2 linked regions of the Drosophila melanogaster genome follow. The protein of the gene in region 2 interacts with the protein of the main gene of each other region in a pairwise test. Each region holds a gene or a part of one and is shown on either strand. Other genes may lie near its edges. The genes, in order: Lsd-2 and klar.

What was found.
Region 1: the proteins of klar (region 2) and Lsd-2 interact in a two-hybrid assay, tested with the Drosophila melanogaster proteins (one study listed by BioGRID).

Annotation. Positions count from the first base shown.
Region 1 is NC_004354.4:15,074,288-15,078,209, forward strand, and holds the start of Lsd-2 (lipid storage droplet-2), read right to left. Parts: upstream 1,934-3,922; 5' UTR 1,654-1,933; coding exon 1,461-1,653; intron 88-1,460; coding exon 1-87. UniProt on the Drosophila melanogaster protein: Essential for embryogenesis. Required for normal deposition of neutral lipids in the oocyte.
Region 2 is NT_037436.4:538,943-542,864, forward strand, and holds the start of klar (klarsicht), read right to left. Parts: upstream 1,673-3,922; 5' UTR 957-1,672; intron 1-956. Other genes in the region: BORCS6 (BLOC-1 related complex subunit 6), read left to right, coding at 2,099-2,486, 2,543-3,017, 3,075-3,120; Cypl (Cyclophilin-like), read right to left, coding at 3,288-3,735, 3,828-3,910.

The sequences.
Region 1 (3,922 bases), on a different chromosome or scaffold from region 2:
TGGTGACGAAGGGAGCCGCCGTTGTCACCGCGCGCGTCACACAATCCTCGGCCGCCGTTAAAGCCCATTCGAAGACACGATTTTTGCCTGAAAATATGAGTAGTTCACATTACGATGAAAAATACGGATTGGAAATTATATGTCTTAGTATAAGTTTAATTTAAAAGTTAACAGCCTGTTTAATTTAGAGATCTAGAACTTCTAGAATTTCTAGAATTGTGTAGTAATACCCCACACATGTGACACAAGTACGAAGAGCGCGCTTATCAGTTGCAACCGTAATAATAATAACAATAACAATAATAATAGTAATAATAAATATGTAGCATTTCTGGCTGATAAGCAACTGCGCAGTTCACGAACCCCAGGGCCCCTTGGACCCCTACATTCTATCTGTCTGGGGCCCGCCAGTTTAGACTTTGATAGTTCGTCACTCGTCAAACACATCATCCATTCCAATTCCAGTCCCAGCAACTGCAGCAACAACAACTGCGAAATATCACAAACAAGTCGAAAGTCCAACTAGAATTTTTGTTGTCGTTGCTGCTGACGGTGAGACCCCAAGAGCCCCTTAGCATAAGTGCTGCCCGCTTTAGTTAGTTTCCAGCCAAATCTAGCTTTATTCGACAGCGGTAATTGGTATTGTCTAGTAAATGCATTAAGTATTTGTTTTTTCAGGGATCTGTGCTTTTACGATCGGCAAACTTAGGCTGGGATCAATATTGAGAAGAAAACTAGTAACATTATTTTAGCTATAATTAAAGTGCAAGTTTAGCTTAACTTTTGGTCAGATCGAGCAGCACTGCCAGTGCCAGTGGCGTTGCCATTGGGTCTGCTTTGCTTTTCCTCTTGTCAAAACGAGCCCCCTTTTGTTGACGGCGCCTCTGCGGCTGCAGCCTACGTGCGGTGGCCTTTTTGCCGTCAGCCACCGCTCTCTCTCTCCTCACTCTATCTCTCTTGCGCTCTCTATTGCGTTGGCCAAGATTGTTTTATTATTATGTAAATTTTAAGCGAACTTTGAACGCAACGCGTCACGAGGGCAAAGTGCCGGCCTTTTTGCTTTTCTTATTGCTAGGTCATGGTTGTTGTTGCTGTGATTTCGATTATTGAACGACCGGCAATCAATTTATATCAATTGAGCTTAATTTCTGGCCAATTAAACGAAAAAAAAGTTGAACAAAAAAAAGTTGTTTCTGCCCTCTATGTGCGTTTCGAGTTCGAATTGCAACTCGAAATAAAATGGCGAAGCAAAGTCAAAAAAGCAACGGTTTCGGTTTCGATTACGGCTTCGAGTGCATATGGTCGCTGCAATTGTTGTTGCTATTTACCTCCTCCTTCACCGGTCGTTTATTCTCTATATGTGCCGTTAGGCGCGCCAAAGTAACGGGACTTGAGCGAGTTCAATGCACCCGGAGGAGGTCTTATTTTCATTTTCTTCTGTTTTCCTTTGCTGCACTTACCTTTTACTTTGCCATAGACATCCTGGGACTTGTCCCATGCCGCATTTACCACGGGCAATTTGATGATCCTCTCGAGGGACTCAAGGTGCGGCAGAAGGTCCTTGGCATCCTTGGGCTGGTCCACATCGTTCATCGCCGTTCCATTGCCAGTTGTTCCGTTCCCGGTGGCGTGTTTCTGCTCTGCACTGGCCATGATCAGTTTTCTTTGGTTCCTCTTGCGCTGCTTTCTGCTGCCCTTTTCACTTTTTCTTTCTGTCTTTCGCTATCAAGCTCTTCCGCTTGCCACCGCACTTTTCTTTTCGCCTCTTGCTTCTTTTCTTTCACGAACAAAAAAACAGCTTAACCTGCGAGTGAGTGTGTGAATGTAGGGTATGCGTGTGTCTGCGTTCTGGAAGCACTCTGTTTTATTTTATTCCTAGCACTTTTTGGCACGTCTGCTCACGTCTGCTCGTTGGGACTCTCTGACTGATTTGCGAGCTGCGCGGCTGGTTTATTATATGAGCGAGTGCCGCCGCCAGTGTTGCCAGCGCCGAGCAACAAAAAGCTATGAGCAACAGTGATGCCGCAGGTGGCAAGAAGTGGATGAGGAAATTTTAGTCAAATAGCTAAAAAGTACAGTTTTTACCAATAGAGCTTACTTTTTGTTCAAACCGCAGTGTGTTTTTTCCAAGATTTATGCCTAGTCAAGGGTCATGTGGCTATAATACACTTTGTATTATTAAAATTTAACCATGAGCTTTGACAAGCACGATTACTACAAAATATAATTATAATATTAAAATCTTCGAACTTGTGTACTTAACCATACACAAATTTGTTTATCAAAAATGTTGAGTAATAAATAATAATAATGTAATAAAATATCGCAGACAGTGAAAAAACAGTGCTAAACAAATAAAAAGGTTAAAATAACCAAATAATATAAATGAGCTTAGGAACATTTCTTTGCAACATATATCTTGAAAATAGCTAGATCGTTTGCTGCTGTAAGATAGCTTCGCTGCGAAGAGAGCAGAGCGCCAAAGCAGTATCAGCGAGAGTTTGAGATTAGGACTCTCTTTGAGGACCCCATATACAGTTTGTCAAGAAACTGTTTACATACTGTGAAATAAGTTGAATTTTTGACTTTAAAGCTAAAATTAAAGGTTTTTTGCTTAATTAAACGCAATTTTTTTTATAAAATTTAATTAAACAATATTTATTTTACTTATAAATCAAAAAACAAATATTAAAATATTAAATATACAAGAAAATAAACAACATAATCCAAGTTTACACACCTTTGAGACTGTCAAGAAACTCTTTACACATTTTGTTTTCCTACTTTGTTTTGTTCTTTTTCTTAGAACGAACTCGATTTTTCCGTTATTTTTGGCTTTGCATTGCTTTTTACAACGCTTCTAATGAAATTTGTTTGACTTTGCTTGAAGCGAATTATTATTTTATATTTAATTAAATTATATTTAATTTATTTTTTGATTTATAAGTAAAATAAATACTGTTTAATTTTATTTTATACAAAAATTGCGTTTAATTAAGCAAAAAACACTTAATTTTTAGCTTTAAAGTCAAAAATTCAACTTATTTCACAGTGTGTAAACAGTTTCTTGACAAACTGTAATTATAATATGAATAAATGTACTATAGTTTTTGAACAGTACACTTAAATTGTTATGATGAATTATTATAGTACAAACGCTTTGTTTGAAATAAGTACAATTGTGTACTATATCTGTTTTAAATGAAACTTAAAATAGTTTTGAAACAATTTTCATTATCTTTATTTTCGAGGTAAAACATAATTAGAAAATCAGGTGAAAGAATGTACCATTATCAAATTATAAACAATTCTTCTATCATGATCAAACTAATTTTGATCATTTTTTCCCGATCTATGCAGAGTTCATAGTGCAATTCTTCTGTGTTGTCCTTGGAGGGGGGTCCAATTATTCTGTTCAGAAAACAAGAGAGCTGAAGAGAAAGAAAGAAATTTGGGAAAAGAAGAGAGACAGTGCCTACGTTTGTTCGGCATGCTTGACAACTAGATTAATTAATACGTTGTGTCGGGCGCAAACAAAGTTTAGATTGAAGTACATTGCAATATATATTTATGTACATATATGTGCATACGTACATATGTATTTCTGTGTATGGGGGCACTTCGATTATCAATGGCCAATGGGCAACGCCACGCAAAAGCTTCGTGCGACCTTTGAACCCCTGCCACCGCATCGATAATACGCCATTGCACAGTCAAACATCTACATTCAGTATTCTACGTAATACTTGCCGAATGCTGTGTAATTCGCTTGGCAATCCAAAGTCCGATTAGTGACAAAACGAAAACAAATTACGAAAACTACAAGCGCGAAACGTGCTAAGTTAACCCCTAAAACGAAGCACCATCCTCCTTTTTTTTTAAACCATCCATCAGCACGTTTTTAGTCCCTAAAATCTACAAT
Region 2 (3,922 bases):
TAAATAAAAACAGCATTTTCATTTAAGTGCTCGACGAGGAAATGGTTGTGGGAAAAGGCCAGAGAAAACCCCGTTCAAGTGTCGCCCATGAAAATGGAAAATCTTTCTTCGATGCGATGTAAATAAACAGTAAGAGTGCGACAACATTTGTTTATAGAAATGGAATGGAATTTAAAGTGCGAAATAGGGAAATACTTAACAAAACAAGGATCCAGAAATTGAGTTCTTTTATTTTCGACCAACTTGCTTGTTTTTCCTATTGGATTTAGACGTTTAAAAATACATTTTTTTACAGAATATAAAAGTTAGAAGCTAATTATCGAGTAATTCCTTTCTCCTGATTCATCACATGCTTTTCTTGTCCACATATCAATCCACTTTTCCATATTATCGATGCCAAAATAAACGATTGATTGATTGATTGAAAAATCAACCCACGCATTTTAATAAAAACAACAACAATTCAAATGTGCAGTTACACACACATAACTAAAAGGGAAGAGAGTGGAAAGCCGAAAGAGAAGAAGAGCGAGAGAGAGCAAATATTATCGCAGTTATTACGAAATCGCAATCGAAACATAACGGTAGATATAGATAGGAAAAGCACCAATACAATAAAGCGAATATAACCGCTAGAGGAAGAGGGGAAGAAGTGGGTGGGTGAAAAAGAAAGATCGCTGTCTCTTTCTCGCTCTCATACTTGCTGACTGCACAATTTGCAGTTAAAAGAAAGAAGCAGAACGGCCTGAGAAGAAAGACAAAGCATAAGAGTAACTGGCCAAGAAGAAGAAAAGAACAAGAAGTCAAGAACAAAATAGAAGAGAGCACACACACACACACATTCGTACGTACCCGTAGAAAACAGAGAAGGCAAAAAAGTCTTTCCTTTTTTTTACACTTTTATCCATTTTCAGTTGCATTTTATAAGATTCTTTAGTACAAACAATTTAACTTACTTGCTTTTTTTAGCAGCCACGCATGCGTCGAATGGGAATTTATGCTCCTTGAGACTCCAATTGGAATTTGTACCCCGGCTGCAAACAGTTTTTTTTTCTCTCTTGCTTTATTTCCACACTGCACACATACACATATGCAGCGGCACATACACACAAGTGCACGCACTGCAGTCGATTTTGTTTTTTTTGCATAAAACTTTATTTCATGTATGCCACTTGTACATTGTTTGTCACCAATTTGCGTATTTTGTACATCAAATTTTATTTTACTTTTCGTTGCCTTCCTTATTATTTTCCTAATCTTCACATGCACTTTTTTAGCGACGCCAACACACACATTTGCACACGCACACACATGGCGAGGATGAGAGAGGAGAAAGAGAGCAAAACACCGTTTTCGTTGCTTCCTTTTCGCTTATTCCTCTTTAGCCGCTTCTTTTCGATTCTGGCTCTTTTTGGCACTTTTAGCCCCAAGTTGCTAGCAATTCACTTAGCGTACGAGCACTAACAATTAAAACGAATAAGACTCGAAAAATACGATGGAAACGCGAACATATAAACAAAAATCTACATTGGTTTTATTGCAGCGCTACGCAGGTGTGTTTTTACGCGCTCATCGCGCAATTAAATTAGAACGCTGCAGATTTACTTAGTTCACTCCAGTCTGCCCAATGCGCGCCGCACACCTCGGAGCCGCAAATTATAAACACGACTGTCTTCGATTTAACGGGCTGGCCTATCGGTCCTATCGATGACTCGATAGTGCGAGCTGGAGTGTGACCATTTCTTGGTAAAAGCAAAATCGTGAAGAGTAAGTGTGCGATACTATCGAACTGTCATATACTCAACCAAATAACATCTGAAATCTGTTTCTCACTAAAACCGAAATTTCCATCAGGGTTAGGAAAATATAGTTTACGCACATCAAGTTGCATAGGTCAATCCTACGTAAAAAAGGCTCGATATAGGTAAGGTGGACCTCAGCCTGAACAGGGCCTAATGCAAATACATTCGATAAATAGATGTTATCGATAACCATTTGGTATATACCAGTAAATGCTTTGTTTTGGTTTTCATTCAGAAAATTGACATACATTTCTTAGTCTGCCTAAAGTTCCTTGGATTGAAAAGAGCAGTGCAGAATGTCGCACCGCCACCAGGACATTCCCATCCGCCCACGTTACGGTTATGTGGCCGAGGAGAGTGGCCCATCGGAAGGGGCAGCCAGGAGTTCTGGATCCGGAGCCACGCCCGCCTCCTCCTACACGGAAATTCCGTTCCTGGCTCAGTATCCGGGAGCGGTGCCAGAGCACGTGCTCCAGGATCTGACGCCCACAGCCACTGGCCATGCTGCGATTCCCGGAAGCACAAAGACAAGACCCAACGGCGAGAAATACCTTAACCTGGATTCGGGCGAGGATCCCGACGAGGAAGACGATCCCTTGGAGGAGGAGGACAACAGCAACTCGAATAGCAACTCTAAGGGCAGTTCCGGCGACATCGAAAGGCACAGACTGAAGGCAGAGAGCAGTGGGTTCTAGGTTATCTACCCATAGTTCCTGACTAAAGCATCTTCCTTCTTTCAGCTGTGCCCTACGAGCTGGACGGCGAAACCAGTGACTCCGACGGGATGCGCCACTTTGTGGCCCACGATCTAGAGGCCAAGTTGCGCGAGCGCGTGGCGGCTTCGGCCTACTCCTCGGAGCACACCACGCCCCTGAGCTCCATGGGTCCCATTGGAGCCACTTCCGGCAACGGTCTGCTCACGCGGCGGTTCCTGCAGTCGCGCAACATTCCCGAAGTGGACGGCAGCGTCTTGAGCGACATCGAACTGGAGGCTCAGTACTTGGCCAGCTCGGTGGACAATCTGATGGAAAACCTGGGCAACCTGCTGCACTCAATCTCCTCCATAACGGCCGACAACGTGGAGGTCCATCGCAACGCGGTCAACAAGCTGACGGACACTTTGGACGCGAATATCAAGTGCCAGTACCAATTGCTGGCCAAGGCGGAGGAAATCACCAAGTCGATGAAACCCACAGAGCAGCTGGGTCAGCGCATGTAAGTGGGTCAATTCAAGACAGATCCCTTTAGTGTAATGGACTTTCTCTTCCGCAGAAGGCAGATCAAGCGGCTGGTGGACATGTTGGACAGCACCATGTAAAATAGGGCTACGCTATCCTGTGATCAACCAATCAAAGAGATCTTGTCTTTCTAGTCATTCCGTAAATACATATAATCAGTGTTATAAAATCCATATGGAAAGATACCTTTCGCTTGTTTAAATCGTACTTATTCTAGCAGTTCCTCCAAAAAATCCACCTCCTTGGCTCACAGCTTCTCCACCTTGGCCTTGATGATCCTTAGGGGATCCACGGGGCGATCGTTCTTGTCGGTTTCCACCATGCCGATCCGCTTGACCACCTCCATGCCCGTGTAGACCCTGCCGAAGATCGTGTGCTTGCCATCCAGCCACTGCGTGGGCGCCAGCGTGATGAAGAACTGGGACCCGTTGGTGTCCGGTCCAGAGTTGGCCATCGAGAGGATGCCCGCGCCCGTGTGCCTCAAGTCGCCGTGCAGCTCGTCCGCGAACTCCGATCCGTAGATGGAGGCGCCTCCGCGGCCAGTGCCCGTGGGATCGCCGCCCTGGATCATGAAGTCCCTGATGATCCGGTGGAACACCACGTTGTTGTAGTAGCCCCTTCTCGAGAGTTCGGCAAAGTTGCGGCAGGTGTTGGGCGCGTGTTTCCAGTACAGCTCCACGGTGATTTCTCCCATGCTGCGCGGGGCACAAATGCCACAAATAATGTGATAAACAAATGCTCAGTCTTCAGTTTCGGCGATTATCGAGCATTCAAGCTCCGGACTCACCTCGTTTCCAGGGTCACGAAGTGCGGCTGCCACGCCTTGTCGGGAATGCCACCAGCATTGTTGGGATCGCTTAGGGACAGCATAACTATATTTGT